Linked DNA regions of Macaca fascicularis. The protein of the gene in region 1 interacts with the protein of each later gene in a pairwise test. Links are inferred from orthologs where the notes say so. Each region holds a gene or a part of one and is shown in the gene's direction. Other genes may lie near its edges.

What was found.
Region 2: the proteins of SUFU (region 1) and RCN3 interact in binary tests that used the Homo sapiens proteins (3 or more experiments, as listed by UniProt). The two-hybrid records come from large-scale screens. The link is inferred for Macaca fascicularis from reciprocal best matches to the Homo sapiens genes SUFU and RCN3.
Region 3: the proteins of SUFU (region 1) and GLIS3 interact in binary tests that used the Homo sapiens proteins (3 or more experiments, as listed by UniProt). The link is inferred for Macaca fascicularis from reciprocal best matches to the Homo sapiens genes SUFU and GLIS3.
Region 4: the proteins of SUFU (region 1) and HDX interact in binary tests that used the Homo sapiens proteins (3 or more experiments, as listed by UniProt). The link is inferred for Macaca fascicularis from reciprocal best matches to the Homo sapiens genes SUFU and HDX.

Annotation. Positions count from the first base shown.
Region 1 is NC_088383.1:111,609,744-111,617,065, forward strand, and holds part of SUFU (suppressor of fused homolog), read left to right. Parts: intron 1-154; coding exon 155-311; intron 312-2,743; coding exon 2,744-2,855; intron 2,856-7,322. UniProt on the Homo sapiens protein: Negative regulator in the hedgehog/smoothened signaling pathway. Down-regulates GLI1-mediated transactivation of target genes. Down-regulates GLI2-mediated transactivation of target genes. Part of a corepressor complex that acts on DNA-bound GLI1.
Region 2 is NC_088393.1:57,488,537-57,496,603, forward strand, and holds the start of RCN3 (reticulocalbin-3), read left to right. Parts: upstream 1-3,908; 5' UTR 3,909-3,964; intron 3,965-4,382; 5' UTR 4,383-4,388; coding exon 4,389-4,630; intron 4,631-6,958; coding exon 6,959-7,161; intron 7,162-7,438; exon of another isoform or gene 7,439-7,511; intron 7,512-8,067. Other genes in the region: FCGRT (IgG receptor FcRn large subunit p51), read left to right, coding at 456-725, 1,401-1,517, 1,901-2,010. UniProt on the Homo sapiens protein: Probable molecular chaperone assisting protein biosynthesis and transport in the endoplasmic reticulum.
Region 3 is NC_088389.1:94,803,984-94,811,943, forward strand, and holds the start of GLIS3 (zinc finger protein GLIS3), read left to right. Parts: upstream 1-2,764; 5' UTR 2,765-3,428; intron 3,429-7,960. UniProt on the Homo sapiens protein: Acts both as a repressor and an activator of transcription. Binds to the consensus sequence 5'-GACCACCCAC-3'.
Region 4 is NC_088395.1:90,995,464-91,002,785, reverse strand, and holds part of HDX (highly divergent homeobox), read left to right. Parts: intron 1-5,118; coding exon 5,119-5,326; intron 5,327-7,322.

The DNA of each region.
Region 1 (7,322 bases):
GCAGAACAAGGTCAGAGATCCTGCTCTTCCAGCATTTGTCCCATGCTCAGTACCACAAGGGCTCAGTAAATACTGTAAGAGTGGTGGCTGGAAGAGTGGTCACCTTGGGCCACCAGTTCTCTGAAAGAACTCTGGCTCTTTGGTTCTTTTCAAGCAGGAGAGAGTTGACAAAGGCATCGAGACAGATGGCTCCAACCTGAGTGGTGTCAGTGCCAAGTGTGCCTGGGACGACCTGAGCCGGCCTCCTGAGGATGACGAGGACAGCCGGAGCATCTGCATCGGCACACAGCCCCGGCGACTCTCTGGCAAAGGTGGGAGCCAACACCCAGCCTTCCCCCAGCCTTCCTCCTTCCTTTTCCCCAGGGCCTGGTTTCCAGGCTCTCTAGGATGGGTCTCTAACAAAAACAACCCATTCAATAGTTTATTTCCTGGCATGATTTAAACAGCAAGTGAAGTCTTCCAGCAGGGTGGAATTAAGGGAGCTTTATTGGCCCATTTCTAGTTGTGTTTCCTGTGTGTATTTCAAATGCATCACCAGCAGGCACCATTGTGTTTTAGATTTGTCCCTTGCAATCTGAGGTCATGGAGGTGAGTGGAAGCCTTAGAACAGTTACAGGAAAAGTCCATAGTCCACCCAAGTGCAAGAGAAAAGTGTCGGCCACCCACGGAATTGACACAGGGCCCAGCTCTGGCCTGAAGGCCATGCCAGATCCAAGGATCACTCTGGCCTTGGGCCCTCCCAGGCCTTCAACAAGAGAGGCCTGAGTGTGAGGCCGGCTTGCAAATTGCCCACCTCCTGTCATACAGATACAGGGTTAGGGCTGTGGGCAGGGCCTCTGGACCCACTGCATTCCGGATGGGGTATTTGGGAAGGAGGATGTGGCTGTCCTTTTGGAATCTCCCTATGCTGATCTTGGCTACAGAAACAGTTGTGGTTTTTAGTAGAGGGCGTCCCCAACTAACTGCAAAGGAAAAGCAGCCACTTACATATACATGTGTTGACAGCTTCTTTGTCTACTTCCTTTCTTCATTCTTCCATCTTTTCTTTTTTTGAAGAATAAGATGTCTACAGCCCTGAATAAAATCCTTACATATATGATAACACTTATAAAAGGTTTTTGTTCATTCTGTAAAGGACAAACTTAAACCCCTAGTGCAAATATTTGAGCCCTTTTTTTTTTTCTTTGAAACAGGGGTCTCTGTTGCCCAGGCTGGAGTACAGTGGCTTGATCTTGGCTCACTGCAACCTTCACTTCCCAGGCTGAAGTGATTCTCCAGCCTCAGCATCCCAAGTAGCTGGGACTACAGGCATGAGCCACCAACGCACAGCTAACTTTTGTATTTTTTGTAGTCAGGGCTTCGCCATGTTGCCCATGCTGGTCTTAAACTCCTGAGCTCAAAACAATCCACCCGCCTCAGCCTCCCAAAGTGCTGGGATTACAGATGTGAGCCACCTCACCCAGCCGAGCCCTTTCTTTCCTTCCTGTTTGTTTTAATGGCATGCCAAGTCTGTTGGAGGCTCAAAGACAGGGTATACAGTTATTGGAATCATTTGGTTGCTTTTGACAACCAAATGAGGTTGATTTAAAGAGGGAGTCATAGTCTTGTCTAAAATTTCAGTCATTATTGGCTATTTTTAAAAATTATAAATTAATCCATCCTACTGTAACAAATCAGATCGTTAGAAAAGTTAGTAATCATCTCCTTTCCACTCTAAGACCACTCTTTGAGCAACTAACTTTAATTTGCTTTTTTGTATCTGTTTACAGTTTGCAGAGATAAATTTGGATCCAAATCTCAGTACAGGGAACCAGACTAGTAAGCTTCAGCCCAAAGACCAGCAAAGCACCTTACAAAGAAATAATCCCACCAGGGGAACTCTTTCACTTCCTGGCCCTTGCCCCTCCATGGAGAGGCAGAGTTTCCTGGGATAGACCAAGGTGGAGGGATGATCTCGTCTCACTGACTTGAATGCAAGGGGAAGGGGTGGCAAGACCAGATGCTAGTTGACCACCCAGAACCCAGAAAGGTGTGTGAGAGGCACCTGCCCATTCATGGCAGGGCACTTGCAGCCTTCACTCACATCCATTTCAGTGGGCAGAATCCCCAGTAATCAGTCACTGTGCAGAGCCACGTTAAGGGTAAACCTCGGGCCTGTGACACAGGAAGGAAAACGATGGTGGAGAGCGCTTTTCTGAACTCTAGAGGCTGCCCCTGGATTCTACAAGAATGGCACTCTTCCAACCTAGAGCTTCTTTTTTTTTTTTTTTTTGAGACGGAGTCTCGCTCTGTCGCCCAGGCTGGAGTGCAGTGGCGCAATCTCGGCTCACTGCAAGCTCCGCCTCCCGGGTTCACGCCATTCTCCTGCCTCAGCCTCCCGAGTAGCTGGGACTACAGGCGCCCGCCCCTGCGCCCGGCTAATTTTTTCTATTTTTAGTAGAGACGGGGTTTCACCATGGTCTCGATCTCCTGACCTTGTGATCCGCCCGCCTCGGCCTCCCAAAGTGCTGGGATTACAGGCGTGAGCCACCACGCCCGGCCGAACCTAGAGCTTCTTAAGAGCACAGTTGTCCCCTCGCAATCTGTACTCACTCAGCACTCACGTCTGGATGCCTAGAGTGGGCTCAGGACTGGCCAATGTGGTAGTTTTTCTTAGCACCTCTGCTGAGCCAAGTTTTAAGAGCAGGGTGAGAGTTGCTGGGAGCCCACTGGGCCACCGGGCAACTTAGTGGTGTCGTTGCAGACACAGAGCAGATCCGGGAGACCTTGAGGAGAGGACTCGAGATCAACAGCAAACCTGTCCTTCCGCCAATCAACCCTCAGCGGCAGAATGGCCTCGCCCACGACCGGGCCCCGTAAGTTCCCCAGTGTCCATGGACTGGAACAAGAGGATGATTTTGTCCTGAAGGGCCTGTTCCTGTGGATTGCATGAGAGAGAACAATGCACATAGCCCTTGCTGGATGGGCCCAGGATCTCTAGGCTTAAGGGCAGGCATGGTCTGGGGCACACAGATCTATCTGTGGGTCATAGGAGAGGGCCTCAGAGGGGACCCAGCAGACCGTGAATATAAACATCAGTAAATATTTACATGAGCCGTGTGAACAGACAGGAGGCCAGGTTGGGGCGAAATCTGACTTGGGGCCTCCCAGCCTTGTGGGAGCCCATTGTGCTGAGCACGGTTCCCTCCTTATCTCGGTCTCGGCCAGAGTTGCCCTTCCTTCCTTCCTGGAGCCTGGTCTCCGGCTGATAGCTGCAACCCGGGGGGCCTCCCTCTCTGGCCAGCCCCATGCTGGATGCCTGCGGCTGAGGCCCTTCTTCCTGCCTCTCTTCCCTGGGGCCCAGGGAAGGGAAAGGAAGTCTTTTGCAGGCCTCTGCTGCCTGTCCAGGGGCCCCTGTAGCCCTCGGGAGAGACTGTGGCCACCCCAGAGGTCAGATCCGCTTCCTGCCAACCTCTCTTCCTCTGATAGAGGGGATGAGTGATGGGCAGGGCTGGAACTGGGCACCCTCCTCTGCCCTTAGTCCCAGGGCAGCTCTAGGGAATAGCTGCTGGCAGGAGATACTAGGGGGCTGGCAGCCCAAAGCAGGAACCTTGCCTGCCAGGGAGGAAATTGCTGTGCCTTGGGCTGAAAGGGAGGTCAATCATCCTGCAAGACCAGGGTGATCTAGCCTTCTTCTACGAAGTCTTTATTACACATTTGCTGTCTGACAAGCTTGGGCCCAGGGGGCCATCTTGGGTGCACAGGCTCTTCCTTTGGGAGAACATGAGTGAAACAATTACCTTTTAATAGTGTGTGTCTGGCTGTCGATGTGATTTGTTGGAAATGGCTGCTTCTCTGGATTCTAGCTCTAGTTGCTGATCATGGTTCCCAGAAATAGTAACACTTTAGTGCACTACAAAAAAGACAGGTCCACAGGATCTGGGGTAGTTAGGGAGGGCATCTTGGAGGAGGAAGAACATGGCATTGACCTTCAGGACGCCTTAGAATTTTAATAAGCAGAGGAAGGAACTCAAGAGGATATAGCACAGGGGAGGCCTGGCTGGTTAAAGTTCAGGCTGCCTCCTGAGACCTGACTGGACTAGAGTTACTCTGGGAACAGGGCTGTGCTGAGAGTTGAGCTCTTTGGCAAAAGCCTGGAGAAGCCTCTACCGCCACCTCAGAGCAGCTTTTAACTCCGGCCTGTGGGTTTCTCCAGCCAGCTGCCCTGAAGTAGCTGGCTCGAGGCATCCTGATCATCCCCTGGCAGCAGCAGATGGCCACACCAAGGTCATACGACATATGGAAGCTCTCTACCTGTGAGTCTGGACCCTGTCCCAGGTCTACACTCCTTCCCATTCCCTGAGCTTGGCTTCTCGCTTTGGGCCTCCTTGGCACTGTTGGGAGGCCAAAGGTACTGGAAGGCCTATAACATGGAGATAGTCTCAGTCCAGATGGCTCTCTGCCTCTGGAAGCCTGGGGTTTCTAGGCAGAAGGGCACAAGCTCCTGCAGAGATACAACCTTCTTGCCCCTCTTGTGTATCTGGAACAGGCCTGAGATCTCACTCTCTGGCTTGGGAGCACTTCCAGCTACTGCACCCCTGGACATTGCAAGGGGGCACAAGGCTCTGGCCTCCTAGATATACACATAAGCCCAGACTCAGCCCACACCCTAACTGGGCAGTAGGGTATTGGTTCTGGTCCAGGGGGTCTCTGTAGACATAAGGCAGAGAGATTGTGGCTTCTACCCTTTGGCTTGAGTTAGCTGAGATACAGAGAGATGGGTGGGAAAAGATTTGAGGTGCCGGGTTTGTCTCCCCTTCCTGAAGGTTTAGTGCCCAGTCAGGTCTCTGAAGCACCAGGATCTGCAGTCTGACGGGATTAGAATGTTTCCTCTGAGGCTGTCAGTGCTGGTTACCCATTTGTTAGCAATTGGTTGAGAAATGGTTTCTCCTCCTCCTTTGCCAAGAACATTCTCCAACACACCCCTTAAGCCTGTCAGACTCAAGCTTCCTGTTATCTCAGGATCGATCATGATGGACTCAGTTCAGTTCAGTGAGCGTGATGTTAATATCTGTGCTGCCCACTCTGGGACCTGACCCCATTTCAGATACACCACATGGATTGCAACTGAGAAAGCTGACCCAAAATGTGCTGGCACCACTGTTTGCTCCACTCCCTGTGCGGGGGCAGCCAGCGTGGGCCATATTTTGTCTGCTGGTCTGATTTCCCCTTAGTCAGGACTTCTGGGCCAGGAAACTCTTATGCATGGGTCTTCCTGGTTTTGTCTGTGGTCTGAGGAAGATACAGAGCTAGATCAGAGGCTCAGAGCAGCTGATCAAGCCTGGGCATTAGCAGCTGGGTGCCGGCCTACTTGGGGGCATCAAGCACTTGCTCTTTTCACACTTCAGCAGCAGCTAAAACATTATTAGTGCTTATTCTGTGCTAGGTAATGTGCCAGTTACTATCTGCTGCCATTCATTTATCTCATCCTCATAGCCATCCTGTGGTCGATAATCTTACATATCCCCCTTTAATGGATGAGGTACAGAGAGGCTAATAAGTATCTTGTCCAAGGTTAGAAAGAGGTTGCGCTTACTTACAGCCATCTATCAGCCATTAAAATGGATGTAATCTTCCTTACCCTATTCTCAGGGACCCCATGGGGGACACATCAGACTGTGTTTCCGAGAAAATAATGACCCTTACTGGTAGAATTCATCTAACTAGTTGCAGCATGAATCGGGACCTCTCACATGGCACCAAGGACAAAGCCAAAGCCTCATGTTAGAAGCCTATTGGGCTTATTTAACTAAACTGTAGGGGAGTTAAATAACTCCTAGGAGATGCCATGAGCCTCGGTGATTCCAAATCCCAGAAATAACAAGCTATGTCATAATTGGCTCATTTATACCAAAATTATTTTGTGACACAAGGCCTTATTTTCTTCATGTACAGAAACTAAAACAACCCTATCTCTGGCCCCTCTACCACCTCAGGGCAAGGGGATTTCTTTCCATTTCGAGGGTCTATTTCTTCCTTTCCAGAAAGGCAGGCCCCCTGGGTAACCTGCTCCTCTCCTACTCTTCGTTGCCAGCCCTCCTCCCACTGCCTTCCCAGAAGGAGAGTCCTTGGCCCTCTTCAGGGCTTCTTCAGCATTTCACAACCCTTGCATTCCAGCCATGAAATTTGTATCTGGCTTTTCCCAAGATGATCAGTTGAGAAAAGCCTCCTTCAGCTTGCTGGCGCCTCCCTTCCCACTGCCTGCTCGGGTGAGTTTGGGAAGGATGGGAAGCAGCTCCTTTGTGCCGCATGAGGACAGCCTGGCTTAAAGACTGGGCCTGCCAACATCTGTAGGGATTTGAGGAGGGAAAAGTTCCTGGGCATCCTCTCTGAGGTCACCTGGTCAGCGTGAACTACGGAGTCTGGTCTCTCTACAGTGCACAGTGCGGTCAGGTGAATTGTGTGTAGAGGTTTTCTTGTCTTTCTGTCTTTTTTTTTTTTTTTTTTTTTTTTTGACACAGGATCTCCTTCTGTCACACAGGCTGGAATGTGGTGGCAAGATCATAGCTCACTGCAGCCTTGAGCTCCTGGCCTCAAGTGATCCTCTTCCCACCTTGGCCTCCCAAAATGCTAGGACTACAGGCATGAGCCGCCATACCTGGCCTGTATTTCTCTAAACTGTTGCTCAGATGCTGGGAACCTGCATCAGTATTCTAGGACCACCTCCTCCCTCAGCAAGTGACTTACCACCTGAGGCTGGGGACCCTTAGGGAGCACTCTGAGTTGTGCCCTCCCAGAGGGGGACAGGGCACATGCATGTGTGCACCCTTACGTTAGAGGGGAAAAGTTCCTGACTCTGGGAGAAGCACTTTGTAGTTGAGGCACCTCTAAAAAGCGAACTCACCATCACTGCTGAGATTCTCAGTCTTCTAGAATCACACCAGCAACTTTCAAGACCTGTAAAAAAAATTTTTTGGCCTTAATTTCCTGGACAATTAAGATTCTGTATCACGAATTCCTCTGCTGTAACATTCTCATTTGCAACACCTCCCCAACATACACACACACACATATACATAGATTTCTCCGTGCTCTTATGAGTGTCTCTGCACCTGTCTGTTTGGCCTTTGATTGGGGTGACTTTGCTGCCTCTAATTCCCATCTTGAATACCTTGTAACCTGGTCAGGGAGTCATCCTTTCGAGAAAATTGTGTTTTGTTTTGCTCAGCCTATGAGGTCCATGAAGATTAATTAGAAGAAGAAAATATCTCGTTTGCATCCAACCTACCAGTGAATTGGGGTGAAGGAAGGTGAGTTTCCATCTGGGGGAAACAGCTGGGCTG
Region 2 (8,067 bases), on another chromosome or scaffold:
TCTGTCACTCAGGCTGGAGTGCAGTGGCGCGATCCCAGCTCACTGCAACCTCTGCCTTCCAGGTTCAAGCGATTCTCCTGCCTCAGCCTCCTGAGTAGCTGGGACTACAGGTGCCCAGCTAATTTTTGTATTTTTAGTAGAGATGGGGTTTCACCACGTTGGCCAGTCTGGTCTCAAACTCCTGACCCCAGGTGATCCACCCACTTTGGCCTCCCAAAGTGTTGGGATTACAGGCGTGAGCCACCATTCCCAGCCCAGGGAGGTGACATCTTGAGGGGACACCTTCAGGGTGGATAGGTTCAGTCTCTGTCACCTGGGAAGCGCCTCCTCTTTTACCACCACATTATCCGGGGTTAGCACATTGCAAACATGGAGGCCTCTTTCTGTCATTACCCAGCCCTGGCCCTGGGAGTGGTGGGCTCGGGGCTTAGACCTGTCTGCCTGGTTTCCTGCAGAGCCCCCCTCCATGCGCCTGAAGGCCCGACCCGGCAACCCTGGCTTTTCCGTGCTTACCTGCAGCGCCTTCTCCTTCTACCCTCCGGAACTGCAACTGCGGTTCCTGCGGAATGGGATGGCCGCTGGCACCGGACAGGGCGACTTCGGCCCCAACAGTGACGGCTCCTTCCACGCCTCGTCGTCACTAACAGTCAAAAGTGGCGATGAGCACCACTACTGCTGCATCGTGCAGCACGCGGGGCTGGCGCAGCCCCTCAGGGTGGAGCTGGGTGAGGCCCCGCCCGGTGCTGATGCTCCTGGTTTCCCGTTGCCTTGTCTCACTGCTGCGCCGGTCCTTCCTGAGTCTGACCTTCCTCCCCGCTGCTGCCATCTCCTTGAATCTGACTGCCTTGTGCCTCGCGCCTTTCAGTGCCCCCAAAGCCTGATGCCTTGTCCTTCCCAAGGCCGACTGCCTTCCGTCCTGCTGCTTCTGGCCTCACTGAGTCTGAAGAGCTGTTAACCACCATGGCCAGTCCTCCCTGAGTCTGACCGTCTTCCATCCTGCTGCTGCTGCGGCTGCAGGTCTTCCTGGAATCTGACCATTCGTTGTCTGCTATGCCCGTCCTCACCAAGACTGACCACTTGCTGCCTTGCTACTGCCGGGGCCCATGAGGCTGACTTCCCACTGCTCTGCCTGCCTCTCCCCGCTGCGCCGGGACAGCCCCACCCTGCCGCTGCTGGTCCATTGCCAGTGTGACCACGGCGGCCGCTCGTGCTGTGGCTGGTTCTTACATCCAGCCTGGGGGCACCCTGCCGAGATCGCCCGCCTGGCCTTGCCTCTGTCCATCAGACACTTGGTGCTGGGATCTCCAAGGCTGGGAGGGACTGGGACCCCCCAGTGCTGTGTCCTGACTGGGTGGGGGTGGACGGGCTGCTCCACATCTCACAGCGTTCTCTGGCTGCAGAAACTCCAGCCAAGTCCTCGGTGCTCGTGGTGGGAATCGTCATCGGTGTCTTGCTACTCACGGCAGCGGCTGTAGGAGGAGCTCTGTTGTGGAGAAGGATGAGGAGTGGGCTGCCAGGTGTGGGCAGCGGGAGGAAGAGCCTTGGAGAGAGGGACAGAGACCCCAAGAGAGGGGCACACAGACCTGGGAGGAGAGACCTGGTGTGGGGACAGACCCAAAGAGAGGAGGACAGAGACCAGAGAGAAGTGGAGACAGAAACCCAGAGACGGGGGAACAGAGGCACAGAGAGGGGACAGAGGAAGGGGGAGACAGAGACCCCGAGGAGGGAGGCAAAGATGTAGAAAGAGGGGGGATGGAAAATTGGGAGAAGGGGAGACAGGCCCAGAAGGAAGGGGTTAGAGACTGAGGGAGTGTGTGTGAGACACACACAGAAATGGGGGATGCCAGTCAGACCCAGAGTACCTCAGAGATTCTGATGACCTCCCCCTCTCTCTCCACAGCCCCTTGGATCTCCCTCCGTGGAGATGACACCGGGTCCCTCCTGCCCACCCCGGGGGAGGCCCAGGATGCTGATTCGAAGGATATAAATGTGATCCCAGCCACTGCCTGACCATCTGCCATTCCGACTGCTAAAAGCGAATGTAGTCAGGCCCCTTTCATGCTGTGAGACCTCCTGGAACACTGGCATCTCTGAGCCTCCAGAAGGGGTCCTGGGCCCTGTTGTCCTCCCTCTGGAGCCCCGTCCTGTGGTCTGCCTCAGTTTCCCCTCCTAATACATATGGCTCTTTTCCACCTCGATAATATAACACGAGTTTGGGCCCGAATCAGTGTGTTCTCATCATTTTTCAGGCAGGGGAGGTAAGGGAATAAATCAGGGGACTGAATGGCCGCTGAGGCTCAGATCTCTCCTACAGGTAACATGCTGCCACGGGGGAACCTGCCAGTTTTATACATCAGGTCATGTATTTTCTTTTTCTTTCTTTCTTTTTTTTTTTTTTGACGGAGTCTTGCTCTGTTTGCCCAGGCTGAAGTGCAGTGGCGTGATCTTGGCTCACTGCAAGCTCCACCTCTTGGGTTCACACCATTCTGCCTCAGCCTCCCAAGTAGCTGGGACTACAGGTGCCTGCCACCACACCTGGAAAATTTTTTGTATTTTTAGTAGAGATGGGGTTTCACCATGTTAGCCAGGATAGTCTCGATCTTCTGACCTGGTGATCCACCCGCCTCTGCCTCCCAAAGTGCTGGGATTACAGGTGTGAGCCACTGCGCCCAGCCTGTTCTGGCAGCCAGGCTGCCAGGCTGGAGTACAGTGGCTTGATCTCGGTTCACCACAACCTCCGCTTCCCAGGTTCAAGCGATTCTCCTGCCTCAGCCTCCCCAGTAGCTGGGATTACAGCCATGCGCCACCACACCTGGCTAATTTTGTATGTTTAGTAGAGACGGGAGTTTCACCATGTTGGTCAGGCTGGTCTGGAACTCTTGACCTTAGGTGATCCACCTGCCTCAGCCTCCCAAAGTTCTGGGATTACAGGCGTTGAGCTACTGTACTCTGGGATTACAGGCGTTGAGCTACTGTGCTCATGTATTTTTAATTCATAACTTTTACAAATGTTTACTGGATAACTGCCGTGCCAGGCATTTTGAGGAATTCTTGGCCACTGTCTGACCATCTGAATCACTGGAGCAGAAGAGGAGCACTGTTCACTCTTGGAGGAAATGGGGTATTTCCTCCAGCCCCTCGATTCGGCTCGTCCTTTTTTTTTTTTTCTTTTTTTTTTTCTTTTTTTTTTTCTTTTTTTTTTTTGAGATGGAGTTTCGCTCTTGTTGCCCAGGCTGGAATGCAATGGCGCGATCTCGGCTGACCGCAACCTCCGCCTCCCGGGTTCAAGCGATTCTCCTGCCTCAGCCTCCCAAAGTAGTTGGGATTACAGGCATGCACCACCACACCCAGCTAATTTTGTATGTTTAGTAGAGACGGGGTTTCTCCATTTTGGTCAGGCTGGTCTCGAACTCCCGACCTCAGGTGATCCGCCCGCCTCGGTCTCCCAAAGTGCTGCGATTACAGGCGTGAGCATGAGCCACTGCGCCCGGCCTTCTTTTCTTTTCTTTCTTTTCTTTTCTTTTTTCTTTTTTTTTTTTCTTTTTTTTTTTTTTTGGTATAGGACTGTTGGGACGTACACCTCTTTCTTAAACCCGCCTGACAAAGGGAAAGAGGGAAAAATACATTTCCCGTGAGGCGTTGGGGCTAGAACAGCTGGAGGTGGACGGCAGAGTGCCGCGACGACTGACAGGAGTTGTAGTTCTCCCCGGCCGCGTCACTGCGGCGTCGCCCACCCGCCTTCCCCGGGCAGGCAGCGGTTTCCTTTGTGGACGTGGCGAGGGGCGCCTGCGGCCTTCCCGGCACTCGTTGGCCCCGCCCCGTGAGTCGCTCGTGCGAGCTCATTGGGCGGGGGGCGGGGCTCTGCTCCGCCAGAGGCGGGGCCTGACTGGAGAGCGGCCGAATTGGGCACTTTTGCGGGAACGCAGAGCCCAGCGTGGAGAGCGGAACGAAGCTGGATGACTGGGTAAAGGGAGTGGGTGGGGGTGCCTCAGTCCAGGCAGGGCGGCTCGGGGCGGCTCGGGTCGAGGATCAGGGTCCGGACTGGGAGCAATGACGGGGAGCCTCCCTGACCTCTGGCTGGCCACAACTATGCCCTGTACTTTGCGTGGGATGTGCGCCACGTCTCTCCCTGAAATTCCCCCTCGCAGGTCTGGGACCCCCTGAGACTCCGTCAGAAGAGTCGGTCCCCCCAATAGGTGGCTTTACCTCTAAGCATCACGCCCTCTTTTCCCCCATCGCCCGCCCTTTTTGAGCCCCAAAGTTTGTAGCCAACTTCCATCTCCCTGTCCTGCCCTAGGTAACCCCTCCACCCCGCCATTCTCCTGTCCCATGTCTGTCCTCATACCTGTAACCCCTGACCCCTGGCCTTTGCCACTCCCCAGGGACCGATGATGTGGCGAGCATCGCTTCTGCTGCTTCTGTTGCTACTGAGGCACGGGGCCCAGGGGAAACCGTCTCCAGACGCAGGCCCTCATGGCCAGGGGAGGGTGCACCAGGCGGCCCCCCTGAGCGACGCCCCCCATGATGACTCTCACGGGAACTTCCAGTACGACCATGAGGCTTTCCTGGGACGGGAAGTGGCCAAGGAATTCGACCAACTCACCCCGGAGGAAAGCCAGGCCCGTCTGGGGTAGGAGAGACACGCGGTTGGGGCGTGTTCGGAGGTGGGGTTTGGGAGAGAGTTGCGGGGGTATTGACAGGGGTTAGAGAAATGGCGTGGACTGAACTTCAGTTCTTTGTGAGAAATGAAATTCTACCTTCTCTCCTTGGGAAAAGCAAATTAAGTTAAAATTGAGGCATGAAGAGGACCTTTGGCCCTTTTATTTATTTATTTATTTTGAGACAGGGTCTTACTTTTTTTTTTTTTTTTTTTTTTTTTTTTTTTTGAGACGGAGTCTCGCTGTGTCTCCCGGGCTGGAGTGCAGTGGCGTCATCTCGGCTCACTGCAAGCTCCGCCTCCCGGGTTCACGCCATTCTCCCGCCTCAGCCTCCCAAGTAGCTGAGACTACAGGCGCCCGCCACCACGCCCGGCTAGTTTTTTGTATTTTTAGTAGAGACGGGATTTCACCATGTTAGCCAGGATAGTCTCGATCTCCTGACCTCGTGATCCACCCGCCTCGGCCTCCCAAAGTGCTGGGATTACAGGCTTGAGCCACCGCGCCCGGCCGAGACAAGGTCTTACTTTGTTGCCCAGGACGGAGTGCAGTGGCACGATCTCAGCCCACTGCAACCTACACCTCCTGGGTTCAAGCGATTCTCCTGCCTCAGCCTCCCAAGTAGTGGAGATTACAGGCACCTACCACTGCGCACAGTTAATTTTTGTATTTTTAGTAGATATGAGGTTTCACCATGTTGGCTAGGCTGGTCTTGAACTCCTGACCTCAGGTGATCTGCCCACCTCGGCCTCCCAAAGTGCTGAAATTACAGGCGTGAGCCACCGTGCCCGGCCTATTATATTATTATTATCATCATTATTTGAGACGGAGTCTCACTCTGTTGCCCAGGCTGGAGTGCAGTGATACTATCTGGGCTCACTGCAACCTCCACCTCCTGTATTCAAGCAGTTCTCCCGTGTCAGCCTTGGAGTAGCTGGGATTTCAGGTTCGGGCCACCACGCCCGGCTAATTTTTGTGTTTTTAATAGAGATGAGGTTTCACTGTGTGGGCCAGGCTGGTCTGGAAGGCCTGATCTCAAGCGATCCGCCCGTCTTGGCTTGCCAAGCCTGGGATTACAGGTGTGAGTCACCACGCCTGTCCTGTCCTAAGTGCTTTCCATGGCCAAACTCATTTATTCCCCAGAGCTGCCCTTTTGGGGTAGGTACCATTTTTTCTCTCTATTTTACAGAGGGGTAACCGAGGCACAAGAGAGGTTAAGTCACTTGCCCACAGTCACCCAGCCAGTAAGAGGAAGTGGCTGGATTTGGACCTAAAATGTCTGGCTGTGGGGCCCAAGCTCTTAACAACAGCAGTAACTTCAGAGAAGGGTGTGAATCTGGGGACAGAGTCGGCCCTTGACAGACCGGAGCGGAGACCACCTGGTGCGGGAGGTGGGGCGGTGACTCAGGCAGGCCTGGAGAGGGCTCTGCTGTCTCAGATTTTCTTTCTTTTTTTTTTTTTTTTTTTTTCTGTCTCAGATTTTCGACCTTAGGGAGGGGGCCGCGGGGGCCTAGGGACGGTGACAGGGAGGAGGGCTCCTCTGTTAATTAGAGATTGGGCGAGGACCGGCCTGACATGGAGAGGAGAAGGGCCGGGGAGCTGACAAGCGTGGCCCGAGAGAAGGGGCGAGATGGAACCTAAGTGGCTTGACATGTGACGGGGAGGGGCACAGGAGCCCCGAGGAGCATGGGGAGGGGTATAGAGAGACCGAGCCCCTGGGGTTGCGGGTGATGGTCCTCGGGCAGTGCCTGATTCAGCCGGGAACAGGCAGGAGAAAGCCACCAGGCGCAGCACAGGGCAGGGCTGGAGGGATAGGAGCCTGAAATTGACACGCGCAGCCTGGTAAGGGGGCGGGGTATGGGGCGGGTTGGGGCCTGAGACAGCCGGGGCTCGGGGGTGTGGCCGTGGCTGTCTGGGTTCAAAGTCAGTCTTGGAACAGGGCCCCCCTGGCAAGGGGCGCAGTGCGACGCCGCGCTCCCCATCACCACCACAGCTCAGCCCAGCTAGAGGTGCAGCACGTGCGGGCCGAGGGCGGGGCCGGCGCGGAGAGGGTGGCCCTGCATCGTCGTAGGTCTCTCCCACGCAGGGCTCCCAGCAGGCCCGCTCGTTTTCAGGAAGGGCGTGACTTGTCCCGGGGGTGGACCCTAGGCTGAGGGTCCTCCGCTGGGTTTGGTCCCGAAATTGACACGCGTCCCTCCCCAGTTCACCCGCGGATCCGATGTGTCCCAGGGGGCGTGGCCCCGTGCGAGGGGCGGGGCCTGGGGCGGGACCAGAGACTGACTTGTGCCCGCCCCGGCTCGTAGGCGGATCGTGGACCGCATGGACCGCGCGGGGGACGGCGACGGCTGGGTATCGCTGGCCGAGCTTCGCGCGTGGATCGCGCACACCCAGCAGCGGCACATACGGGACTCGGTGAGCGCGGCCTGGGACACGTACGACACGGACCGCGACGGGCGTGTGGGTTGGGAGGAGCTGCGCAACGCCACCTATGGCCACTACGCGCCCGGTACGCGGCGAGCCCCCGACCCTGCTCCCCATACAACGTTACCCTCACCTTCTGGACCGCCTCATTCTGAGAACCTGAACCCGTTTACCCGGAGTCCCTGGCCCCTAACCAGGCTCTACCCACTTTTAGGAGCCCATCACTGAGATCTTCACTTTCTCACCTCTGGCTTCTCTTTTTTGTTTTTCGTTTGCTTATTTTTCTGGTATTTAGCTGCATACTAAAAACGATCTTTTTTTCAAACATGAAGTCGGAATTAGGTGTTAAAAGCCACTGAACACGCCCAAAGAGGGACTTGAACCCTGGGCCCTCAGATTAAAAGTCCAATGCTCTACCAACTGAGCTACCCAGGCTCCCTTCAGGGAGTTTATTCTGGGACCCGCCACCTCTATGACAATGTGACAGTATGACTAGGGAACTTCAGATCCACGGCCAAGGACACCTACTTTCCATGCTTTGTCATCCTGAACCCTAACCTCCGTGACATCATCCTGAGAACCCCAAAGCCAGTTACTCTGCCCCCGACTCTCAGATCCCTCCTTTCTGTCCCAAGCCCCAGCCCCAGTGGCCCACCCCTCCACACACACACACACACACACAGCCCTCATTCCCTCCCCCCTCTCCTCTCCGTCCCTGGCCCCAGCCTCCCCCTCCAGCCTGTCTTCCACAGGGCTCCAGGGGAGTCTTCACACCCAGCACTGACTCTGCCCCTCCCTCCCCTTCCTGGGCCCCCAGGAGACAGTCCCACTCCTCAGCCCGGACATCTCCACCTGTAGGTTTGTTTTTCTGCATTTTCTGCCCCAAATGGATCTTCTGTGGTTTTTCTGAACTCACCACACTCCTCAAACCTCTACCCTCTGCCCATATTGTTCCCTCCAATTACAATGCCCTTCCCTTCCTCTCAGTCAA
Region 3 (7,960 bases), on another chromosome or scaffold:
TCATCCAACATTGATCACAAGATGCTTTGCACTTTATACACCTGCAATATGTTTTATACACATTCAAAGGGCATGCACAATTATTTTGTGGTACAGTAATGTTGATTGAACTTGGGGCTTCTAAACTGGCATATCTGGCTCTGTCTCTGACTCTCTTTAACTGTTTACTGAGCTTCAACTTCTTGGCTTCTAAATAGGAGATTATCCATATCCACCTCATACAATTGTTTTGAGGATTAGACAAGGTAATATATGGAGAGAGTCCTCATTTCTTGAGGGTTTGCTATAACTGAGACACTGGGCAAAAAGTTTTCCGTAATATCCTCACATGTAGAATGCATACACGTGTTAATTCCTTTAGTCCCAATACTTGGACAGAGTATGTACTCACTGAATATTTCTCAAATGAATGAGAACTGGACTGGAGCTGGCAGCAGGGGCCTGTCTGCTGAGTCAGCTGCTCTGAGTCAGCGGTTGAGGCACATACAACACAGGTCTCTAGAGAGGGAAGATACAGACTGGGCTGCAGTTCCCACCTATCTGGCTGAAGGGCTGCCAGAGTATGATTCCTAAGCACAATGGAGAGCTCATGGGTAGGGGAGAGTATCATTTCCGAACTACATGATTTCCTTTCTCACTGTCTCTCATTACCACCCTCCCTCACCCCTGCTGACCAATTCAGCCCAGAAGAGGTACAGATCTCATTCTGAGTCACTCCAGGGTTGTATTGGTACAACAACAACTGCATTTTTACTATAACCCATGGAATATAAGAACATTGCAGATCTACATTCTTGGCCAGAAAAAAAAGAAAAGAAAAGAAAGGAAAAGAAAAGAAAAAAATCCAACCAAAGCACTATACCTCTTTAATGGTAAATATTTTAGGAATGTTAGATGTTCATGAAAATCACACCTAAATAAAATGACATTCCCACTCTTGGGCTCTTATAAATGAAGAGATTTTGGGGATCTCCAGGTCAATGACTCATAACTTTCCCAGTGTTTTTTTCCATGAGCCATTGATTAAAGTTGGGTGTAGCACTATATATTTTTTCTTTTCCAGCTAAGCTGTTCCCATCATTTGGGAAGTTTTAGAAGCTCTGCAAGCCCCTAGGATACCAGTCTATGCATCAAAACCATCGTATTTGAAATGATATTTAAGGGACATTGGAAAGGTTTTTTGCAGCCTCCACCCAGGCTTGTCTTGTTCCTGGGGAGCAGTTGTTGTACAGTACAAGAATCTGATGAACAGAAGTTCCCATGATGCATTGAAGGGTTAGTGTTCTCATCTTGCTCTGTTCCTGAAGGCTGGAGTTAATGAGGAAGAGTTTTTATGTGAATGTCAGGCATGTTGCAATAACTAGCCACAATGGAATAGTCATGGCAATTTCCACCACTTGGTTTCTTTGTTTTTGTGATGTTGCTGCATGCTTCATTTTATGAGTATTTTCTTTTCTTATGTGTGGTTGAGCCCATCTATTGCCAATCTTGGGCCTGGATACTTGTATTTAAAAGAGATGAACAGAGAGAAACTGGAAAATTGACAGAATGACATATCCTAAACTCTTATTATTTTTCTTCCCCTACTAATGCTGACAAATATTCTGGTGATTAATATTCTGATGAGTTTGTGTCCCGAGGAGAAGGAAAAGAAAAGAAAAAGTACTGTGGAAACCAGGTTTCTTTTGGTTATGTTAATATCATGGATATAGACCAAACCTAGTAATATTCCTACTGAAATTAGATAAATGAAAACTGCCAACAGTCTTTTAGTTTTGGCTTTCTGGGGTAAGTCATTTGTGTCCTTGAGGACTTCTATCTTGATCAAAGCATCTACTACCTGATTGCTAATTTATATTGGAGTAGGAACAATAGAATAGAATATAAGGACTTGTGAAATTCTAAAAGTGTCTGGTGGCATCCTCACTCATTTAATTCATGAGGGTGAAAAATACTCTCAACTATTGTGTGCATTACATACCTAGATTCCCAAGATAGAAGTCCTTGCATCTGTGGCAATACATGTGATGAACTACTAAAAGTAGACTTTCTTGTAACAACCTTTTGAGGGCTCTGATCAACACAAGCAGAAGGGATGGTGGGTCAGAGCTTAGGTGGGGTTTAAGGCTGAGGATGTTGAATTCATAAAGTGCCACTTTGTAGATGTAACATATGCAGGGAATATACCTCCATTCCTAACTGCCTGTGTTAGGAATTTTATACCCTTCCAACACTTCCATCACCTTCCTCTCTTCTCTGCCTATACTTGGAAAAGATGCCAAACGCTTCCTTAGTGCTTTACCTATCCAGTTTCGAAGTTGTTATGTGCATCCGATCCCAAATTTCAAATCAACCCTTTTGCCATTTTTCACTGTGTTATTCTCTCTGTGTTACTACCGGATTTTTTTTTGTTGTTGTTTATTTATTTTTTTATGACCTGACATCAAATCCTGGCTAAACACTAACATCTTTTCATGTTAAAATAAAAGTCAGTTTAACAAATAAGGCCTGGAAGAAGGCGAAGTGTCTCCCTGCTATTACCCTGTTCTGGAATTCTGGAATTCCTCGACTTCTGGCTTACTGGGAGTGTGAGAGTGTGTGTGTGTGTGTGTGTGTGTGTGTGTGTGTGTGTGTGTGTGTATGCGTCAAGAGGGAGACACAAGCTCAGCCTTCGAATTGGCCAGCCTAGTGACCAGCGAGCCCGCCCCCACTCTTCCCCCTCCCCCTCCGGCGCTCACACTCAGGAAGCAGCTGGGTGCAGGCCGGCCCTCGCGGCCGAACACACATCCACACTCCTCGCCGGGCCGCCTTCCTCCCTCCCTCTTCCCCCTTCCCCTTTCCCTGCAGCCGCGTCCACACTGCGCCGCCCGGGCAGCCCAGAGCGCGGCGCGCACGGGCACCGGCGCCGAGTGCCGCGGCCACTGCCCCTCCTGGGACCCCTTGTAAGCCGTCCGCGGCCGTCCAGGGTCGCACCGGCGACGGAAGCCGCCTGCAGCAATTAGCCAGCATCCCGGGGTCGGCCCCCAGAAGCATTCCCCGGCCCAGGACAAGGATGAACAGGACAGGCGAGGCGCAAAGTCGCAACTCAACTTTTTAGAAACATTATTTGCGTGTGTATGTGTGTAGCAGGGGAGAATGAGCTGATGCCGAGGGTCCAGCCGCCCCGCCTCTGCCTCCTCCTCCCCCTGCCGCCGCTGCCCTCGCAGACGCGCGCGCACACACGGCACTTGGGCCGGGTTTCCGCGCTCCGTCCCCCGGCTTGGATGGGGGTTTTCATTTCCGAAGGAGGCAAAGCCCGCGGAGCGCGCTGAAGGGCTGGAGCCCCAAGTTACTCCTCGCCAGGGCTGGCCGCCCGCTGTCACTCGCGCTGGCTGGCCGGCGGAAGGGACCCGCACATCGGGCTTTGTTGTGGAAATCCCGGTTACCTGGTAAGTGGATGCCATAGGAACTTTGCTCGCAGGCGAGAGACGGGGAGAAACCGGGCGCTTGAGAGTGTGGGGGAGTTAAAGCTCAGAGACGCAAACTAGGGATTAGAAATAGTTTTCCACGCTGAGCCGGTGGCGTTCGCGCGGGTTTAAGGATACGCGCACCCCAATCCCCAGAGTCATAGGTCACTGAGAGACCTGCGCTTACTGAGACTGATAGCAACAATTAGGGTTCAAACAGTGTTCCTGTCAGTGGCCTAACAGCGCCCAATGTAGAAGACAGATCAACAGGGTTTTAAAGTTTCGCTAATTAGGAACAGTTTTTGTTTTTTTCATTTTAAGTAGAGGGGGCAGAGGGGTACACAATCAGGGCAAGTTGCAGGACGGACGGGCGTGGGGCACGCCACTCCAGAGCCCCCACTGAAGGGAAACTTTGGCGAAGTGGGAATTGATGGGGTGACGTGAGGTCTCACGCGCACACACGGGGCAGTAGTTGTATTTTCAAGTTCCACGTGTTTGTGGAGATTCACGAAGACTGTTGTCCACGCCTGTGTCTCATCCAAGCCGGTGTCCCTATGATTGCAAGAGGTGGTCGGGTTGAGGGTACCTACACTCCTCGCCGGTACCGGCCCGGCGACCCGCAGCCGCCGGGTCTATAACTATAACCTCCCACGCCGCCAGTGCGCAGACACAGCCAGACACGAACCCTCCCCGCCGGGTTCGTCACCTCGCGTTTACATTTTATGGGGCCCGACAAAATGTCAGCACTGTTTGGAAAATGTCTCAGTCTCGGAGACTTTGTCCTGCGCACGGCTCCAGTCCCTATAAATGACCCTGTGTGTATTTTGAAGTCGGCCCGGGTCGCTCTCTGGAAAGCGTGAGTGAGCTGCCGGCTCTCTCCTAGACACACACCTTGCCCCGAGCGACAGTTCCAAGTTACTCACTGGAGCTGACAAGTCACCTCGGGGACAAGGAAGTCACCCAAGTGTCTGGAAATCTTGGCCCTGGCTGATTTGTCATCCTATGGATGATTCAATTAGGTACCTGGCGGGAGAAACTTTGGGGAAGGGTTTCTGGCTCCGCGTTCGCGCCCTCCGACTTGTTGGAGGTGTTTGGGAGGCGAGAAGCGAAGGGAAACCACAGGCTTAGGACACTGGCTTGGCGGGGGCCGGTGGCCGGCGTGCGGGGGCTGTGAGCCCGGCCATGGCTACTCCGGGCTACAGGCTCCGGCCGGGCCGGGCAGCGCGCGCGGGTCCCGGCCGCCCGGACTTCCCAGCCGCGGCGCCCTTTCGGCCCCCGACTTACTCAGGAGCGGGTTGCACAACAGGAAGCCGGCACTAGTTTGTTTTGTTTTGCTGCGTTCGCTCGCTCGCTCGCGCACAGGGCCGAGGGTTAGGGGCGGAGGCGGCGGGGGAGTGACGGGGTCGCAGCCGCGCGCACCCCGCCGGGCGCCGTCGCCTCCGCCTCCGGACCCGCCCCTAGTTCCGCGCCAAGGAACCTGGATTTCCGACCCCGGCAGCGAAGCTAGTGGGATAGGGAACCGATAAGGGCTGCCCTCCTCCTGCCTTGTCCCACGCGCCTCTCCCCCGCCTGGCGGGCTCCCGGCACCTCTCCCGACTTCTCCTGCCCTCCTCTTGGCAGGAGCGGTCTCAAGGACTGAGGTCTCCGTCCCCCTGCTCTGTGTGCCTCCTTGAGCCCCCCGCTAGTCTGCCCTGGTATAAGCTTGGCCCTCATCTCTGGAGCATCTAAACCCGGGGCAGGGGTAGGGAGCTACTTCCGGAATCTCAAGGAGCAGGGTCCGTAGAGACAGGACTCGTGCAGTCGCGGCCCCGTTTCACAGAGAGGCTGGCAGAACCACCTTCCTCGAGGACTTCAGCATCTCTGGAGAGTTGGGGCCCCGGGGCCCTGGAGTTTGTGAGAAGGAAGTTCTGCAGCTCCCCCCAGTGGACCAGTTCCCGTTAGTATGGGACCGAGAATCTCAAGGATAGACTATTAAAGCTAGGGTGGACCTTGGAGTCACCTACTGATGAGGAAACCGAGCCTCAGAGACGTTAAAGGTTTTGCCCAAGACCTCACAGCCAGCTGTTACAGACCCAGGACAAACCCTTAAAGTTCTGTTACCAGTTAAGAGACCATTTCTTGGCTGGAAGATGAACTCAAGACAAATGCAAAGTCTGGTTCTGTCCCTTCTGAAAGCTTTGATGAGTCATGATTTCTACCTTGGGAGTTAGCCAGACGTGTCTGTTTCCCCCTCTGTCTTGTTTCTCACTGGCCCTCCCTTTTTAGACTAAACCTTCTTAATTTTTTGGTACAAAATCGATTTGTGTTGGTTTAAACCTTCCTATTTCTTCTGTCTCCTCCTAGTTTGCTTCCAGTGGTTCTGTGTGAAGCAGGTGCAACCTGCAAAGGTTTGCAGAAAAAGAATCCACCACGATGAAGGTCGTTTTGAGAAAGTTTGAAGCAATTTAGACAGGAGAGTGTTACATTATGTGCATTTTTTTTTCCAATTGAGAACAAGCTAAAGTGTAAGGATAATCTATAACCGTACTGCAGTTTTCATATATTTTCACTAGTTGTCTGTGAAGCCAGACTAGCTCTGACGTTACTTTTGAGAGGAAGGGTAGGGGGCATTTTTTCCACTATTTTCAAAATACCTTTCCTTATTGGTAGTTTGTTAATTGCTTTCTTTTCTTGCCCATAAGACTGAGTAATCCTTGAGTATGAGTAGATCAATTTAACTGCTGCTGTTAACTTCTCCCCTTGGGTCACCTTAGGCCAGTTTGGGGACAGCATCTTTAGTCCCCTAATTCCACTGAAGTTCCTTAGTAGTAGGCAGGTTATCAGAGGTTGAATACCTAGGGTTTGTTGGTTTGCTTGGAAGAAGTGATCATTGCTTCAAATAATGCAATCTTTATTGGGGTGGTGGATGAACTCCAAGGTCCACCTAGTGGGTGAAATTCCTACTGAGCTAAAATAGGCTGGGTAGGGGAGGTTAAATAATAGCCAGAAAATGTTTTGTATCAGCCCTGACTTCATTTATGCAGGAGAAAGTGGTCTTTCTGCCATTTCAGAAGAGAGCTCAGTGTTCTCGGTCTTTTTTTTTTTCTCTGACTGTTCTTTCCTCCTAGTACATTAAGCCCAAGGACGTTTATTCTTTCCACTGTTGTCTCTCTCATATCATAATTATTGATCTTTGGAGTTGGAGTGTTAATTTACTCTTCTTCCAGATTATAGAAGATGTACTTCTGGAAGGAGATAACTGAGAAAGTGGCATCACGTGCACATTTCTCATCTCTGGAGAAGTCATTTTCTGTGTTTCTGTGATTATTATTTTCTGTAGGGGGCATTATATTGTAAATAAGGTGGAAATACAGGACTTAACTGTTTTACTTTTCCCTAAGTTTGGTTGGTTCATAGACTGTATCAGGACTGCAGAAAAAAGACACATAGGAAATCTGTGTGATTAAAAAAACTTGTTGCCATTCTCATTCAAGGAAGATCACACATAACAAAACCTTTGAAATGACATTGATACATAGTTTGATTAAAAGATGCCCAAGTCCCCAGCTTTTGTAGTTTCCCACTTACTTGAGGCGGAGTTGACACAAAAGCCAAATTTTCTATTGAGATAAAATAAGATATCCTTATGGAAAAGCACACTTATCTTAAGCTTGATGCATTTTTTTGCAAGTGGAACACACCCACATAACTAGCCTCCAGATCAAGAAACAGAGCATTATTAACACACCAGACACATCTCTCACACTCCATTCCAGTTACCACCTCTGCCTAAGGTAACCACTGCCCTGGTTTCTAACAGATAGATTAGTTTTGTCTGTTTTTAAAAAATATCTTATGTAAATGGAATAATTCAGTATGCACTCTTGGGTCTGGCTTCTTTCGCTCAACACAACAACCTTTTATTAGGTCAAATAATTTGGACTCCCCCTTTAAAGATGATGGAAACAGTCTGGCTTGCAGAAATTAGTGAGGCATTACTTAATATGATAGAATTAAGGAAAAACACTAACCAAACTGAAGCCATATTTATATTCTGATGACAGTCTGGTTAGGGAGACCAAACAGACACAAGTGAAATGTCTAATGTGACACCAGTGTAGGTGAGCAGGAAAATTCAGAGGAGTTCCTTCCACTAAGGCAACCCAGAGTGTATTTCACAGTCCCTTGGTGAGGGGCAGCAACCCCCATAATAATAAAAAAAAAGTGCCTGGTTTCAGTACTGAACTGTTCATTTGCAACTTTTAGCTGGGATTTTTCATTGTTCACCAGTAGGCCAAGATAAAGGCAAGAATAAAATGCCTACCCAGAGAAGTGGAATATAATTTTTGTGCTACATTTTCCTAGTAGAGAAAGGAATAGACTAGGAAACTTGCAACTGTAATTAAACTGGTTCCATAAGCCATGGGATTCATGATTATGGTCACATCTCACTTGTATTTATTCAGGCAATAAATTATAGATGTGGGGTATAATTGTGTATTTCACTTATGCCACGTTTTTCAGTATGAAATATC
Region 4 (7,322 bases), on another chromosome or scaffold:
ATATATAAACATATAGATGTACATATATACACACATACATAATCTATGTTTATATATATATGTGTGTGTGTGTGTGTGTGTATATATATATGGAACAACCCTAACCCTAACTCCTAACCTCCTTAACCCCTAACCCTAACCATATGTGTGCACGCGTGCACACACACACACACACACACACACACACATATGTATATAAAACTTTATTAAAGAAGTCATAGGGAATAAAATGAAATTAGACTCTAGTTTCTGGTCTGGCATGTGAGGAGCCTAGAAGTTGTCATTCATCTTAACAAATAAAACGTTGAACAAACTGAAAATCAACAATTCTTCTTAGATATGACAGATAAGTGAAGTTACTGGGCAAACCACTGACCCCAAAATTGGTGAGACAAATAGGCAGATACAGAGAATCACAACTTACTGGAGCAGAATTCCATGAGCAGAAACCTCCATGGGAACCAGTACCAAGGCAGGAAAACCTAAATTGTAACTGATGAATTGCTGGAGGCTCAGTGTAGACAAGTCAGAAAGTTCGAAACTCCAGCATGAGCAATCATGGAGGGGGTGATACTTTTGTGAGTTTTACTCCCAGAGGCTGTATCAGATTCTCACTGTGAATATTGGAGAAAAACTCCCTCACGCTCTTGACAGGAAGAGTGGAAAAGTAACCATTTTTAAGAAACATTAGAACATTCTGTTAAGAAAGCCTGCTCTTAAGAACAAATATTTTACCAGAGCCTAGCCTATTGGGATTTTACCATGACCTACCTATCCTAGGGCAAAAATAAACAACAATTATAACCAAATACAGTCCCCTTTAGCCATTCTGTCCCACCTAAGGTAGAGGAAAAACTGATAAACACTTGTAAAGTTCACAGGCCATGGCAAAGGTTCACTAAAAGACTGAGATCTCATCATAGGACTATAGGATGCTTTACCTTCCTCCTAACCTTAACACTACATCACCAAATGCCTAGTTCTTTCAGTTCTTTTAACCCAGTACATCATGTTTAACTTTTAATAAAAAATGACAAGGCATACCAAAAGGCAAAAAACAAACAAAAACAAAACAACAAAAGAATTTGAAGAGACAGAGCAAGCATCAGAACTACATTCATACATGACAGGGATGTTAGAATTGTCAGACCAGGAATTGGAAAGAACTATGATTAACATGCTAAGGGCACTAATGGAAAAAGTAGACAACATGCAAGAACAGAATGGTAATGTAAACAGAGGCATGAACATTCTAAGAAAGGATCAAAAACAAATGCTAGAGACCAAAAACAGTAACTGAAGTGAAGAATGCTTTTGATGGTCTCATTAGCAGACTGGACATGACTGTGGAAAGAATTTCTGAACTTAATGATATATCAATAGAAACTTCCAAAACTGGAGAGCATAAAACAAAAATACTGATTAAAAATGGAACATAATATACAAAAATGTGGGATAAATATAACAGATGCAACATATGTCCAATGGGAATACCACCAGAAAGAGAAAAAAAAGGAAAATAGAACAGAAGAAATATTCAAAACCATAATAACTGAGAATTTTCCCTAAATTAATGTAATATATCAAACCACAGATCCACAATGCTTGGAGTATGCCAAGCAGGATAAATGCAAAACAAACAATAAAAAACGACACCTAGGCATATCATACTCAACTGCAAAAATCAATGATAAAGAAAAAGAATTCAAAGAAGCCAGAGGGGAAAAACAAATACCTTAATTACAGAGGAGCAGCAGTAAGAATTAAATCTGACTTTTCCTCAGAAACCATGCAAGCAAGAAGGCAGTAGAATGAAATATTTAAAGTGTTGAGAGGAAAAAACAAACAATACCAACCCACAATTCTGTACTCAGTGAAATTATCCTTCAAATGTGAAGGACAAATAGACTTTTTCAGACAAAAATTGAAGGGATGTGTTGCCAGTAGAACTGCCTTGCAGGAAATGTTGAAAAGTCCTTCAGATACAAGGGAAATCATATAGGTCAGAAATGCAGAGCTACATAAAGAAAGGAAGAGTATTAGAGAAAGAATATTGAAGGTAAAAGTACATTGAACAGTACAAAAGGAATAAAATGCCAAATTTGTGGGATGCAGATAAAGTAGTGTTGACAGCAAAATGTATCATAATGAGTACATTAGAAAACAGGAAACTCTCAAATAAATAATCTAAACTCCCACCTTAAGAAACTAGACAAAAGCTGGACATGGTGGCTGGAGAGCACTTGCAGTTCTAGCTACTCAGGAGGCTGAGATGGGAGAATTGCTTGAGCCCAGGAGTTCAAGCCTACAGTGAACTATGATCACATTACTGTGACAGAGTGAGATCCTATCTCTAAAAAAAGAAGATAGTGAAAAAAATGGAAACTAGAAAAAGACGACAAAATAAACACAAAGCAAACAGAAGGAAGGAAATAACTAAGGTATGAACAAAAATGAATGAAACAGAAAAAAAAAAGAAAACATTTACTTTAGCTTCTGCAAAATTAAACACTTAGGTATAAATTTAGGCACAAGGTCTGCATGAAGAAAACTACAAAACTCTGATAAAAGAAATCAAACATCTAAATAAATGGAGAGATATTCCATGGACATGGATAGAACAACTCAATTATATCAAGGTTTCAGTTCTTTTCCAACTTGATCTATAGATTCAATGCAATCCCAATCAAAACCCCAGAAGTTACTTTTCTTCTGTGGATTGTGGTTTTTATTACCATTTCTAAGAATTCTTCACTAATCCTGAAGCCCCAAAGATTCTCCTCTATGCCCTCTTGTAAAAGTTTTAAAGTTTTATTTTTTATATTTAAATCTATGAAGCATTTTGAGTTCATTTTTGTATAAGGTGTGAGATTTAGGACAGGGTCTGTTTTTGTTTTCCTATGAATATCCAGTCGCTCCAGCATTGTTTCTTGAAAAAAATACCCTTCCCCTATTAAATTCTTTTTGTACCTTTGTCAAAAGTCAGCTAAGCTGGTCATACTAGTGTAAGACTATTTCTGGGTTCTCTATTCTGTTTCAGTGATCTGTGGCTAGCCCTCTGCTAATAGCACACACTGTTGATTACTGTAAGTATATAATGTCTTGAAATTAGGTAGATATATTCTTTCCACTTTATTCTTTTTTATTCAATACTGTTTTAGCCATACTCACTCATTTTATTTTCACATGAATTTTAGAATTGTCTCATATGTATCTACAAAAATCTTGCTGGAATTTGATAAAAATTATGTTAAACTATGTATAATGTAATGTGATCATAGTTCACTGCAGCCTTGAACTCCTGGGTTCCAGCAATCCTCCCACCTCAGCTTCCCGAATATATGCAACTACAGGTGCTCACCAGTCACCAGGCCCACGTTAAACTGTGTTTAACAATTAGATGTTTGCCAAGTTTACCAATCTTTTCAGTGAACCCATTGTTTATTATTTTAAATTAATATCCTTTATTTTTTTGAGCAGTGTTAAGTTTGTGCTGCAAAAGACTAAACAGGACAGAAATTCAAGCTACAGACTGGGAGCAAATATTTGCAAACCACATATATGACATATAACTCATATTTAGTATATATAAAGAACTTCTCAAAACTCAACACTGAAAACAAACAAGCACTTCAATTAGAAAATTAAGAGACATTTCACTGAAAAGGATGGCAAATATATGGATGACAAATAAGCACATGGAAATATGGTCAACATTAAGAACTTGTTGAGCTGTTGCTACATACACCTATGAGAACAGCTAAAAGTTTTTAGAAAATACTGACAATACTAAATGATAGCAAGAATGCTAAGAAACTAGATCTCTCATATATTGCTGATAAGAATGTAAAATGGAACAGTTTCTCTGGAAAACAATTTGACAGTTTCTTATAAAACTTAACATATAGCCATATGATCCATAATTTGCATCCTTGTGCCTATATCCTAGAAAAATAAAAACAATGTCTACATAAAACCTGCAAGTTACTGTTCACAATGGCTTTATATATAATAAGCAAAAAATTTGAAGCAATGCAAGCATCCTTCAACAGGTAAATGGTTAAACAAACATGGGTAAACATATATCATGGAATACTGCTTAGCAATAAAAATGAATGGGCTCAATACACACAACTTGAATGAATCTCCAGGGAATTGTGCTGAATTGAAAAAGTTGATTTCAAAAGGTCACATGCTGCATGATTCCATTTATATAATATTCTTGAAAAACCACAGTTATGGAGACAGAAAACAGATTAGGGATAGTGGGAAGGAGAGGAAGAGGAATGGTGTGATAAAGGGACATAGAACTATACACACATATTGTACAGTATCAATTTCCTTTTTATGATATTTTGCTATAGTTATGTAAGATGGAAGTTGGAGAAGACGGAGTGAAGAATAAACAAGACTTATCTTTGAAACTTCCCATGACTCTAAAATTATTTCATTACAAAATGTCTTCAAAATTGGTTGTAAATTTAGTAAAATGAAATTTCAGAGTGCTTGAAATGCCAAGGTAATAATATGGAGCCAAACAAAATTAACAGAGGGCACATTTTTGCATAGGAAGAACAAGATTAGAAATAGGATATGAATTAGAGTTATAGCTGTTTGAAAAAGAACCAGTTTATTTTTCTTTTGAAAGATTTGGTGAATCGTTTTCTTGAGAAACAAAACAAAAACAGAAAAAAGTCATCCTCATTAGACTACATGTTGCTTAAAAATATGAATATTTATATAAATACCTTCTTTCTGCTAATAAATATTTTAAAGTAAAAGTCATAACTATTAACATTTTGAGGTGATTGACATGCTGACCATCATGAGTCTATCATTATAAAATCTGTACATGTATTGAAACCTCACACTGTCACACTGTACCCCATAACCATGTACAATTATTATGTGTCAATTATAAATAAAATAAATAAGTTATAAAAATATAAAACATAATTATTTTTATTTTAGCATATTGACATAAACGTTTTTATCTTTCTATGTACCCATTTATTCCTTTAAATCCTATTTTATGCAGCATTCATTCATTATTTTACTGGCCAGAACTGCTAAGTTCTCTATGCTTACAAAAATTCCTCCTATATTTCTCTTATAAAGACTTGGATTGGGAATCGAAGAAGGAAATATCGTTTAATGGGGATTGAAGTTCCACCTCCAAGAGGAGGCCCTGCTGATTTCTCTGAGCAGCCTGAGTCTGGTTCTTTATCTGCACTCACACCAGGAGAGGAAGCTGGGCCTGAAGTAGGAGAGGATAATGACAGAAATGATGAAGTATCCATCTGTTTGTCTGAAGGAAGCTCTCAAGGTACTTTATATGCTGAATCTTCTAATAATAGCCTTTGTAAATTTGATGCATTTTTTACTTGCTTTTCAGCTTACTGCACTTCAAGTCTAGAGTCTTCAAAACATTTGGCCAAGTATTTGAAAAGAATAGATTTATTTTTAATACCTCCACCTAAACAATCTCCCACATCGTCATCACAAGGAACATTCATCTACAACAATAATAATCTCTTACATTTATAAATGTTATTACAATTCATACATTACAATTAAGTAAATGATTTTTATTTTATTGGAATTCTAGTCAGTTTAGGTCAGAGCATTATAAACACACTATAATGAAAGAGTATGGCATAATATAACAAATACCAGGCTAGTAGTCAGGAAATCTGGATGCAACTCCTAGCTTTTCATGCGATTTTTCATGAGACTTTCATGCAAAGTATTTAATTGGGCTTTAGTTTCCTCATCTGCTAAAGATAATTAGTCTGGATTATCTTTATGATACCTCTCAATGTTTCTCTAAAAGAGAATTCAAATAATATCATGTAATGGCACTATCTGTTCATGAGAAGTATGTTTCATTTGTCCTCAAGCATAGATATGATTCTCTTCTGACATATTTTTATTAACACTTTTATTGAGATTTAATTTACACATCATAAAATTCATCCATTGTAAGGCCATGTGAGGTGACTAATGCCTCTAATCCCAGAACTTTGGAAGACTGTTATGGAATGATTGCTTGAACTCAGGAGTTCGAAATCAGCCAGGGCAACATTATGAGACCTCATCTCTACAAAAAGTGGTTTTTGGTTTGTTCGTTTGTTTGTTTTTGTTTTTGTTGTTGTTGTTTTAATTAGCTACAGTCCCAGCTACTCAGGAGTCTAAGGTGAGAGGATCACTTGAGCCCTGGAGTTTGAGGCTGCAGGGAGCTCAAGTGATTGTGCCACTGTACTCCAACCTGGATGACAGAGTGACACCCTGTCTCAAAATATAATCATTCATTTTAAATATAGAATTCAATGATTTTTAGTAAATTTTATTCAATTCTACAACCATCATCATCACTGAAATCTGAATTTATATCACTTTCATCACTCCAATAATTCCCTTTAGCCCCTTTGCAGTCACTCCCTCTCCCCACTCTAAACTTTAGGAAGTCACTGATCTGCTTTATGATGATATAAATTTGTCTTTTCTGGGCATTTTCTATAAATTGAATCATACAATATATAGGATTTTGTATCCGTGATTGAGAAACAAAAAGGATCATGACGTTTCTCATTTTGCTTTTGGTTTCATTGAGCTCTGTTTAGAATACTTACAATATATTTTCCAGTTTATTTTTTGCCTTTTAATTTTGCTTATGATGTTTTCCGATGTCAGATTTTCTTTTGTAATTTTTAAGTTTTCAAATCTACCAATACTTTCCTTTATGGTTTCTGACTTTGGGTCATAATTACAGTCTTTCCTTGTACTACAATCATGTAAATATACCCCTACATTTGTCTCTAGTATCCTTATAGTTTAATTTGTACAACTTGATATTTATTTCACCTAGAATTAATTTTGCTTTAAGATGTGTGAATACATCCAATTTTATTTTTCCAAATGGTTAACTAATAGTCCCTACACCATCTGTTGAATAACTCATCTTTTACCAGTGAGTTGGAATGTAGCTTTTTATTAAATACACACACACACACTCTCTCACACACACACATATACACACACATGCAGGCATACACATATACACATGTGGGTCAAATGTGAGACTTCTTATTGTTACACTGATCTGATGGTTTACAACTCTGGCTTTATAAAATGTCTTAATATCCGGTAGGGCAATCATTCTTCTTTGCTTTGTAGTAGATTGATTATTGAATTGTTTAGTCATACAATTTGAACTGTTTAAGCGTGCCTTTTCCAAATCTCCTTCCCCAAAATTCATTCGAGATTTTTCTTGGCATTGTATTAAACTTAGAGAATACTGTAGGAAGATGAATTCAGCTTTG